Arabidopsis thaliana: one gene and its partner. The protein of the gene in region 2 interacts with the protein of the main gene of each other region in a pairwise test. Each region holds a gene or a part of one and is shown on either strand. Other genes may lie near its edges.

Region 1 (5,685 bases), on a different chromosome or scaffold from region 2:
ATCAAAACCAAAAGTCAGTTCACCCTAGGAACAAGTAAAAAGTAAAAGCATTTGTCTTCTTCTTATGATCATCTTACCCAATCATCCACGTTGTTAAGAAGGTAATAGAGAGACCTTCAGTGGATTTCTCACTGTAATTAGTCATAATCTGAGGTATCTCAGCAACACCCCAACTGATAACACTGATGATACCAAGAGACAATGACAATCCATCTCTAAAACTGCTGTGGAGAAACATCTTCTTCACAGCCAAAAACCTGTTAAACCCAAAAATCAAACAAGTCCCTTAATGAGCAAAGGTAACGTCTTTTTGATTGTGCAAACTAGAAAAAAGTGTTAGAAGACGAAAAGGAAAAACATTTACACTAGAATGACCACATTTGAAAGAGTAGAAAACGAATCCTAGAGAATTAAAAAAGATTTCTAATTCCGACAATAATTCAATATACTAGATTCACAAACAAAAAGACCCCACAAAGTGAATATTCCCCCAAAACCCAAATCACACCCTCAGGATTCAGATTCTTCCATTAAAAGCAACAAAATCGAAAACGTTACACAAAATCTGGTTTCGACATTCACATATCAACACCATTGTTAAAATAATCTATTCGCAGCCTGAAATATCCGGTTTCATAAAAAGCAAGAGAAATCGATTCCCTAATACATTAAGAGAAACGAATTCGTATTCGACTATTCGTTTACACATCAATGGAAGAGAAAGTTGTCACCTTTTATTATAAAAAAAAAACAGAAAAAAGTTGTCACCTTTTCCAGAAGAAAGAAACGAAACCCGTGAATGAATGAGTCGACGGGTTTATACTTGGAAGAATTATCCGGGAGATTTTAAAGGAGAGGCCTTTAAGCGTTAAAGAGGTAGCTCTGGTGACTGCTATTCGTTTGTCTCTTTGCTGTTTTATGGCGATTTATATATCATCATCATGTGTTCCTTCTGGAAAACACAAATCACCATCTGAACGAAATAAAGAGTTAAAAGAGTTTTCTACTCCAATATTCCTTCAAACTACAAATAAATATTTTATATCTTTTTTTCCGTGGTCTTATTTTTATTAGAGTTTTATTTCTTTAGCATTATTGTCGCTAAAGAGTAGTGGATTTGGTATCATCGATTTTAGTCCTATTCTGTTTGTTTTGAAATTGTTTTTCTTTATGTCACGTCGCCGGAAATTTGTTGGCCATAATTTAGTAGGATATATTGGGTGCATGTCTACCAAAATAATGAGATAAATAATAATTGATGGAATAATTAGAAATTAATTATATTTTATATCTTTTATTGGAAACTTTTCTCATTATTCTTTTTTTATTTATTTTATATTTCATTGTAAATGGTAAAATTTGTGAGGAATCTATTATTTTACCATATAATAATGAGATAAATGGATAATAATTGATGGAATAATTAGAAATAATTAATATTAGTATATCTTTTTGGGCTAAGCTAATGCAAGACTGGTCAATTGGAGATGAACCCAAAAGTCATGGTACATTCTATATGGGCCTCAAAAGTCCATGTGACATAATAATTCAAGGCCCAATAGGCGTCTTCTTGTTATATATTTTTTTTTGTTTCTCAATAAGACAAGAATTGTCTTCACGCTTCCGCGAATCGTTAAGCTTCACAATTTCAAGCGAAGAGGATCAAAAAATCAATTTTTTTGGAGAAGAACCAGAAATCACAAAACCCTAGAGGGCTCTCTTCAAATCAACCATTAAAACCGCCAATTCCGTTATGACAAAGAAGAGAAAGCTCGAATCTGAATCCAACGAAACGTCAGAGCCGACGGAGAAGCAGCAGCAGCAATGTGAAAAAGAGGATCCGGAAATCAGAAATGTTGATAATCAAAGAGACGACGACGAACAAGTAGTAGAGCAAGACACACTAAAGGAGATGCACGAAGAGGAAGCTAAAGGTGAAGATAACATAGAAGCGGAGACGTCGTCCGGATCTGGGAATCAAGGAAATGAGGATGATGACGAAGAAGAACCTATTGAGGATCTATTGGAACCGTTTTCAAAGGATCAACTTTTGATTCTTCTCAAGGAAGCTGCAGAGAGACATCGCGATGTAGCTAATCGAATCCGGATTGTGGCGGATGAAGATCTTGTTCATCGTAAGATCTTCGTTCACGGGCTTGGATGGGATACTAAAGCTGATTCACTTATCGACGCTTTTAAACAGTACGGAGAGATTGAAGATTGCAAATGTGTGGTTGATAAGGTATCTGGGCAATCTAAAGGTTATGGCTTTATCCTCTTTAAGTCAAGGTCTGGTGCTCGTAACGCTCTTAAGCAGCCTCAGAAGAAGATTGGAACTCGTATGACTGCGTGCCAGCTGGCGTCTATAGGACCTGTTCAGGGGAACCCTGTTGTGGCTCCTGCTCAGCATTTCAATCCTGAGAATGTTCAGAGGAAGATTTATGTCAGTAACGTTAGTGCAGACATTGATCCGCAGAAGTTGCTGGAGTTTTTCTCAAGGTTTGGGGAGATAGAAGAAGGTCCTTTGGGGCTTGATAAAGCTACTGGGAGACCTAAAGGTTTCGCTTTGTTTGTCTATAGATCCCTAGAAAGTGCCAAGAAGGCATTGGAGGAGCCACACAAGACTTTTGAAGGCCATGTCTTGCATTGCCACAAAGCAAATGATGGGCCAAAACAGGTTAAGCAACATCAACATAACCATAACTCTCACAATCAAAATTCCCGTTACCAAAGGAACGACAACAATGGTTATGGTGCCCCTGGAGGCCATGGACATTTCATAGCTGGTAATAACCAAGCTGTGCAGGCGTTTAATCCGGCCATTGGCCAGGCCCTCACAGCTTTGCTGGCATCTCAGGGTGCTGGGTTGGGTTTAAACCAAGCATTTGGGCAGGCTTTGTTGGGGACATTAGGGACAGCTAGCCCAGGAGCTGTAGGTGGAATGCCAAGTGGCTATGGTACTCAAGCAAATATCTCACCTGGGGTCTATCCTGGGTACGGTGCTCAAGCCGGGTACCAGGGCGGTTATCAGACTCAGCAACCTGGTCAGGGCGGTGCGGGAAGAGGGCAGCATGGTGCTGGGTATGGTGGTCCTTACATGGGTCGTTAGATTAGCCACTCAGGTAATTATTTTCAGCTTCTTTTCATCTATTTCATTGATGTTCTGTATCAGAAGACTTTTTTTGTAGTTCGCTTGGTTCCCTTGTGTATTTCAAGACATGGACTTGCTGTATTTTGACCTTTTCATGGTTACTCCATTATGTTAAACTTTTTGCGTTGCAAGATCATTTTGTTTTCAAAGTTCCTGTGACTTTGTTGTGTTTCTGAAGGGTGTTAGGTTTTGCATCAGTTTATAAAAGTCTTCTCTTAATTTCTTAATTCATTGTGCAGATATTCCAATACAGTACTTTTTAAAATTGGCCTGGTGAATCTTCTGAAGTTATTAAGGAGCTGATGCAAATGGAGTTGTTTAGTTTTTGGATGAAATGTTACTCTTTCGTGTCTTCAAAATACATGACTCTTCAAACCTTTCAAGAAGTTTTAGTTTTCCCCTACTTGTTTTCTCAACTCTTTTTATGATATCCCAAATACACTGTTCTGATTTAACAACTATCGTTTCTGTTTTAAACTTTTGGGAACGTTTTCATTTGTAAAACTTAAACAGTGTTCCTCATGGACACACAAACGCTTTCACTATGTTTGAATCCGTATTTTCCATTTTCTCTTAATCAGACTCGTTTTTATTGGTTCTCGCTATGTTTCGCGGTTTTGTGGAATTTTTCCATGCACGTAATTCCTCTTAAGATTTTGACCTTGTGAGAGTATGATCACACATCACTATGCATATGTACATAACGGCTTATCTTGATTACCACATATTATATCTGCTTAATCCTTATTCCTCTTGCAGGTAATTTAAGAGCAAGCTGAACGGTCAACACTTACGCCCAACAAAAATCTATGGGGTACCAAATATTTGAATGCCACCTATCTGCTTTTTCTTTTATATATACTGAAAAGTGAAAAGGGATGAATCTATGAATTGGTAGCTTTATAACTAAAGAACGAATTAAGCAAAAGTTGTTTTCTTGTTTAACTTAGCTAGGCATCTACCTGAATCCAAAAGAGCAACTTGTTTTGTTTTGTACTAATAAGTATCAACAAGTCTTGACCTGCACATGTCAAGTTTTTGACTTGATTTAGAGCAGCTTGTTTCTTGTGTGTCCTTGGAGTTCTCTACTGTTTCTATAGCTTTGAATGAGCTTTCCATTTGACCACATCTCAAAAAATTTGGTAATGTGCCTTAGAATAACACCGAGTTTGGTAACACAGCTGGAATTGGTGTTTTGCTGTGGCATCATGGGAGCTCTGAAATGTCTTCCCAGTTAAAGGTGAGTATAACTGTTTGCATTGTGAAGATTTGTATTAACTATAGAACATTGAATTGATGGTGTTAAGTTCTTACACAAGCGTGCTTCTCGGTTTGAACTGTTTCTTTTGTATGTTGAATCAGAGCTTAGTTTATAGGAACCAGAGTATCTACTTAGTCATTCTCTAATGCTAAGTGCTAAGGTTCTACCTAGTTGCCCTCTAGGCCCTTATGTTATTGATAACTTATGAAGCTATTTGAACACTTGATTCTTAGGAGACCTAAGTTGGTACAGCCAGATAGAGTGTATGTTCTTGTTCTCTATGTGACAGGATCAAGCTGCCACACATAGTTCAAGGGTATGCTCTGTGTGGGTTTGCTCAGATTGAGGACAAATCTATACAAGGAAGTAGAGTCTTTGACATTTTGATGTTGTATGATAAGAAGAAGAAAGGAGAGTAATAAAGAAAGAGAAAAGGGAAACAGAAACACGTGGGAGAACATCCCAAAGAGGAAGCACACGCGGATCTTCATGCAAAGCTCCCCGATTCTCCCATGTGGTCCCTTTCTCCCTTTGTCCCCCTCCTCTTTCTTCTTTTCTCATTTTACTCCTTTTTTTACCATTATACAACGAATCTTTTTTATCATAATTTTTTGGTTTTGGTTTATTTTCCAATAACACCTTCTTGGTTACTTCCCATTCTCACTTTTTCATATAAGAAACTCACTTTGGGAAACTTATGTTTGAGAATGACAAGTCTTTTTAGAGAAAGTGATGTAACAAATCTAAAGTGATTATATAATAACCTTGCACAATGTTTTTGATTTTTTGTAAGATTCGAATATTAGGTTTATTATTCGTAGGGAATAAACTTACTTTCAAAAGCGTTCATAAGTTAATACTTTCATATATGATCATAAGTACGGACACTATTGTTTTTTGTTTGTTTGTGTTTATTCTAAAAGAAAGTAGCTTTTAATTGAAATGTCCTCAGAGGCACAGTTTAAAGTTCGAGTGTAACAGTTTCTAAGGCAAAATAAGCTCTCTTTCTACTATTTCTCTTTCTCTTTCTACTATTTCTCTCCTGTGGAGAAACTCAGGAGATAGAGAGAGAGAGAGAGAAGAGAAGAGAGCATGTATGTTTGGTTTTATAATCTCTCTACTCATACCAAAGATTTGTCTCAGACCCACCACTTGGACAGAGAGAACCCAAGCTCCTTTCTCTCTTTTTCTCGATCTACTCCTTCTTAATCTCCTTTTTTGAAACTTGAAGCCACTTTCAACATCATCCTTAAACTTTTGTTCCCTTATTCAC
Region 2 (5,937 bases):
CTTGGTTTGTTGGTGAACGTGTTGGGACGTTGGAGAGATAAGAACAAAGGGACGAATGAGAAAGAGATCACAGTTGATAGGAGCTTTAGCAGATCAGGGTCAGTTTCAGAAGAGGAGGAAGAGAAGAGGAATTTGGGGACGGAGAAGAAAGTGTCGTACAAGGAGGCATTACAGAGAGGAAGTAGTGGAGAAGATGGCGGTGGAAGCACTGGTCGAAGCAGCAGTAGCCGCAGAGATCCGATCTTGGAACTCTTTGAGACCGGATGGATTCAGAATCCCATCAAACGAAGTAGTAGAAGCGCGGATTCGCTCACCTTCTCGCGTTCTGAATCCTATTCGACCTGATTTCTTTCGAGATTTGAACCCGAGGGGTGACACAATAGCTTACATGTTTTGGTCTCTTTCAAGTACTTCTTGTATTCATTACTTTGTAAATGTCATATTCTAAGTAACCTAAGTTTAAGATTTGTTTTAAAACTTTGGATACTTATCATAGAAACATAATAAACCAGAAGAATGACAATAAGTGAATACGATGTTAAAACTGGGGTTTTGTTTTACTTGTATTTACCTTGATTGATATACATCTTTTTTTGGCTAACCAAAAGAACAACAAAAATCGAGTGTACTAATCACAATGAGACCTGTACAACATATCTTCTTCTCTATGAAATGACTTTTGTAACTTGTAAGAAAGAAAAACAAAGCTTTACATATAAAAGGTTGTACTTGTATGTACATGTGATATTTTCTTCTTTCTCACTCGCGAACCGAGTAGCTTTTCTTCCAGAAGAAGCTGAATGGTCTTGCCATCGACTTTCTTCTCGACATTGATTTCGACAGGACTCTTGGTTCATAGTCTTGAACTGAAGCTGAAGCAGGAGTTGATCCATGGACAGACAGCGGTGCTGAGAGAGATTTTCGGGCAGGTTCCTTTTGGGGTGGCTCATCTCTGTTTGAAGATGGCTGGTCCCGTTGCTGTCTTTCTTCCCTAAACAGCATTAGAAGCTTCTGAGACTTCTCTCTGCCTCGAGGTGTTCCGTTTACAGAGATTGACACTAATGATGGTATCACACCTTCTTGTAGCACCATTTGGATACAAGACTCTCTTCCATTGCATAGAATCAAAAGGCATGAAACAGCTTGCTCCTGCTCTGTTGTGTCACCCATGTCTAGCACTGTTGCTAGACTGCTGATCATGCCCTGTGATGATACCGCTTCATCTTTGCCCTCCTGGCTTGAAGCTAGATTTAGCAATACGGCTAGTGACTTCTCTATCCACAAATTTTCACCTGTTGATGCGAGAAGGCCTTGGAGGCTCTTGATGATGTTAGATGAAAGGAGAGCAGGGATATTGGGGGAATATGTGGAAAGGTTGTAGAGGGCGTGAAGAGCATCGAGCTTGCATTGGGTTTCGATTTCCTTCTGAAGAAGTTGGACAAGGAAAGGTACTGCTTGGCTTGAACCTATCACGGACTTTGCTTCATCGAGACAGGAAAGGTTCAGATAAAGCGCGGTTGCTGAACCATGGGACTCAGCAGAAGAAATCATTTTCTCCAGCAGCCGAATCACCCCAGAAGTTAACATCAACTCTTTGTTCCTTGAGAACACAAAAAGTAATGAGAAAGTCACAATCTATTATTGTATTACCAACATCAACAAGAGGTACTAACCTGTTGTTGTTGACGGCTAAATTGAACAGAGCCATAGCTCCACTATCCTGAGCTGCAGCATTGTTATCATCTACAGCTGATCCTAAGAATCGCAACAAGGCTTCAACAAACCCGTTGGCTCCCATGAAGATCCTGGCCTCTTCATCATCCTTCAGCAATAGCCTGATTTTTTCTACAACCTTGCATTTTTTCTCCAAACCCTCCTCTTCGTTTAAGACAGCCAATAAATCTTGATACCTCTCAAGTACATTTATATCAGAATCCTCCTCATCATCATCATCAGACACAAAACTTTCTTCTGTGTTTTGTCGTTCAACAACAGTAGTACCATTCTCCTCCAACGGAACAATTTTTACGCCCTTCAATTTATACGACCCTATACTGTTGACTGACTGTGATTTGGTGGACTCGGAGTCAGAGAGAGCTAGTCTCCAGTAGTCGAGGTCTTGAGATTCCGGCGGCCCACTAGGAATTTGAGTTCCATTCTGTTCACACCAGCTCGCAATAAGACCTTTAACACAGTTATTGGGAGTCAAAGAGATATGTGGGAGCTGTTGTTGAGTCTTTGGGCAAGTATTATGCCCATCACTGAACCATTTCTCAATACAGACCCGTTCATAAGTCTGCCCTGAAGCAATAATGACAGGATCACACATAAGTTGCAAAGATATGGGACATCTCAGTTCTTCGGGTGGAACAGGCATCTGTCCTGAATTTATGCTGTTCATGGGCTTGTCGTTTAAAGAACCAAACCTTGATAGCTGACGACCAAACCCATGAACACTCCCATGATCTTCATTAGGAGAACATGGATAGGAACCCGGAGAGTCATTCTCATCCAAGATCTCACTTCTGAATAGCTTGGAGCATTTTCTCATAAGATGCAGAAGATAAGCCACAATTGATTCCTTACGCTTGTCTTCTTCGGCGCGTGCCCTGTCAATGAGTTTCTTTAAAGCCCTTCGTTCTGCCAGAGCCACTCTAGAAGAAGTGATACTTAGTCTAGTAGCAGCACGGTGGAAAATTTCAAGCTCGGTGTTGTCATTACAGTTGTCAAATTTCTTCCCTTGTTGAAGCAATGCAATAATCTGATCACCGACTTCCTTCTCCGATGGATCAAGCATGAACCTGGTGTTCTCTAGTTCACCAACAATTTCCAAAATCTGAAGAAATCATACATAAAAAAAAACAGACTTCTCAACTATAAACATCATAACTATCAATCAACAAGTGGACTTATCTTAATCATCACAATGTGAAATGAACTGAGTAATAATTACCTGTGACCCAATTGAGCTAGGAACAATGTCTTCTACACGTTTAAGACCATCAATGAGAGCAATTTTTGCTTTCTCAAACTTTAAAAGAACCGCATCCCCCGTTATGGCCTGTTCACATTGGAAAATGTAGAACATTAAAGAAGCAAAACACACGAAACGAGAAAGCATAAAACTTGTCCAAAGAGAGAAAAAACTGACCAAGTAAAGTTTACTACACTCAGAACAGTGCTGAAGAATATTTTTTGCCTTCTCAAGTGCAATATGTAAAGAGCATAAGGCTTGAATCCCTGATTTGCTACGCGGTCTTGCTCCTTCCAATGACGGGAAGATTGAAAGTACCTTGCATAGAACTCCAGATAGTTCCTTGCACATATCTCCATGTAACTGTAGCAAAAGCACAAGACAATCAAATCATCAAACACCAAGAACATAAAAACACGAAACCCTCTAACAACATTGAAATCAAATGATAATAAAAAATATGTCCTTTAAGATAACCCAATTACTATTTCTAATAGAAAATTTGTTTGCAATAATCAGAGATGCAAATTTAATCAGATTCCAACAATTACAATCCGAATTCGAACATTTCAATTTAAAAACCGAACCTTGGCATCGCTAGCCGCGAATAGATTCTCTTCAAGCTCGGTCACATCCATGATCAAACCTCACCAAAACAACTCTAAAACTACAAAAATCTCCCAGAAACAAAGGAATCAATACATGAATTCAGAGAAATTATTAAAACAAACAATGAATCATGCTACAATCACAGAAATTACCTTTGCTATGAGAAAAAGATCTTAACCCAGAAAAGAGAAAGAAAAAAAAAACAGAATTTTTTATTCAAACAGCAAATCCTGGAAAAATTGCAATAACGGAACTGAAACACATCCACAAAAACCGGGAAATTCTACGATTAATAGAAAAAATTGCGAATTACATTAAAAATAAAAGAGAGCACTAAAAATAAAGCTGCGGAGAACACGTGTGGAACCAGTAACAACCAAAAATGGACAAACAAAGACAAAACAAAGAACAGAACAGAAGAGATAAGATAGAGGTCAAACATTTACATACCGGGGATATTGAGAGACCGGCCAAGGAGGAAGGTTCATAAAAGATAAACCAATAGAGAAGAATCAGACAAGTGATGATGAATTAGGGTTTTGTTCTTGGTAAGGCGATCCATGATTTTGGGGTTAAATGTGAGAGAGAGAGAGAGAGAATAAAAAGATATTCGAGTGGAGGAGGAAGTACTTAAGAATCTGTGTGTTCTGTTTTAAAAATTATTAAGTTAAGAACGGCATTACTGTGATGTTAATTAGTATTCTAATTTAAAACTAATGAACGGTTCTTTCTATAAATATTTATTTAATGTACTAGTTTTAGGAAGTTTTCCAGAGACAATATTGTAACTGGGGTTGACGTGAGTTTTCATATAATTTGTAACTTTTTGACTTTTGTTTAAAAGATTAATTTGGTTAGTTAGGAGTATTTAAGCTTTTTTGGAAGAGTTTAGAGTTTATGGTTAACCTTTTTTTTTAAGAGATTAGTGCGTTATAGTTGCAAATAGTGCGTTTTTTTCCATCAGAAAAGTTAGTGGAAACATGAACAAATTGTCAGTTAAATTATGTTATCCCACTTGAATATTTTTGCATTTTGCTTTTAATTTCTAACGGTCCACCAAATCACCAAATGGAGTATTTTAATTATTCTTGAATTAAAAACTCACTCAAAGATTTGCTTCTTCCCATCCACCCAGGCGGATTGAAGTTTTTAGCGTCTTTTTAATTATCATTTTGTATTTATAATTTATTAGATTTTTAAATTTATAATTTGAAAATTATTATCATTTATTTATTTTATATCAGACTTAAATATAAAAATATTGTTTTTGAGTTGTTATATTTGTTACCTAAATTCTTGCCAAAAAAAAAGAAAAAGAGAGAAAATCTTCTAGCTTCGAAAACATCTAATACTGTAATAGTAAAATCATTAAAACTTTTAAATTGGTTTATCAAAACTATGTCGTATATTCTTCTCCTTCTCCACGGAACCCACACATAGTAGAGAAACAATATGAGCAGTTTATCACACTCTTGAGTTACCAATTTTCTCTCATTTCTCATTATTCCTTCACTTTCTTTCGAGGTACTTCATACATAGTCGTCTTTCTCAAGTTGTTGTGGATTGTAGAGAAGACCTAATAAGCTAGAGAATGGATTCGAGGAAGTCTTTATCTTCCATCGATAGCTTCAACGATTGTTACGTTTGCTTGTAACCCAAGATTCGAAGGTCAACAATTCCACGGATGATATACCTTACTTGAGTCTTTATTTCTAACCAGTTATATGTTACAAGCTAAGTCTGATTCTTGTATTCTTTTCTACCATTGAAACCAATAAAATGGTCTCCTTACCAAGTAAAACAGGGTTATTATTATGTACTCTAACAACATTTTCCGTTCAATCAATACAAGAAGCTTTTGGATTTCTTATTTCTTTTTTTTTTTTGGGTTTTTTTCTTTCAACAAAATGATTATAAATTATTTATTTTTCTTTACCAATAAGATTTGGGGTTTTATGAACCATGATGAAATACTTTTTTGTCTTTTTATGAAGAAATGATATAACTCTGTTTCTCCTCTCTTGGTAGCAATTGGCTTTTTATTTCTCAGGTAAGTAGTCTCCCCCTTTTAAATCCTTATTGGGTGTTGTATTCTCCCAACAGGCGTGAGATGTTCGTTAAAAACAAAAACAATTGCTCAAGAGCATGGCGTCTGGTTCTGTTATGTATGTGTCTTGTTTTAGGTAATAAGAGTCAACTTCAATTTTGTGGTCACTTTCTTGCTAATTAGTTGTGATAACAGCTGTTGCTTAGAAACTTCAACGGCCAAGACTTCAATTTTGTCTCCCAGCGTAGTAGACTTGGAACTTCTGATATGACTTTGATCACAAACAAGATATATCTTTAAAAAACCA

What was found. The genes of interacting proteins can lie anywhere in the genome.
Region 1: the proteins of AT1G67530 (region 2) and AT2G41060 interact in a two-hybrid assay, tested with the Arabidopsis thaliana proteins (one large-scale study listed by BioGRID).

The regions. Positions count from the first base shown.
Region 1 is NC_003071.7:17,125,385-17,131,069, forward strand, and holds AT2G41060 (RNA-binding (RRM/RBD/RNP motifs) family protein), read left to right. Parts: upstream 1-1,604; 5' UTR 1,605-1,753; coding exon 1,754-3,109; 3' UTR 3,110-3,122; intron 3,123-3,390; exon of another isoform or gene 3,391-3,910; 3' UTR 3,911-4,373; coding exon of another isoform or gene 4,374-4,391; 3' UTR 4,392-5,185; downstream 5,186-5,685. Other genes in the region: AT2G41050 (PQ-loop repeat family protein / transmembrane family protein), read right to left, coding at 78-238; EEL (Basic-leucine zipper (bZIP) transcription factor family protein), read left to right, coding at 4,374-4,391. UniProt on the Arabidopsis thaliana protein: Heterogeneous nuclear ribonucleoprotein (hnRNP)-like protein that acts as a component of a complex regulating the turnover of mRNAs in the nucleus. Binds with high affinity to RNA molecules that contain U-rich sequences in 3'-UTRs.
Region 2 is NC_003070.9:25,305,904-25,311,840, reverse strand, and holds AT1G67530 (ARM repeat superfamily protein), read right to left. Parts: upstream 4,225-5,937; 5' UTR 4,034-4,224; intron 4,021-4,033; exon of another isoform or gene 3,736-4,020; intron 3,685-3,735; exon of another isoform or gene 3,642-3,684; 5' UTR 3,613-3,641; coding exon 3,562-3,612; intron 3,338-3,561; coding exon 3,152-3,337; intron 3,062-3,151; coding exon 2,954-3,061; intron 2,837-2,953; coding exon 1,674-2,836; coding exon of another isoform or gene 1,601-1,673; coding exon 760-1,600; 3' UTR 533-759; downstream 1-532. Other genes in the region: AT1G67540 (uncharacterized protein), read left to right, coding at 1-345; AT1G67520 (lectin protein kinase family protein), read left to right, coding at 5,694-5,766. UniProt on the Arabidopsis thaliana protein: Functions as an E3 ubiquitin ligase.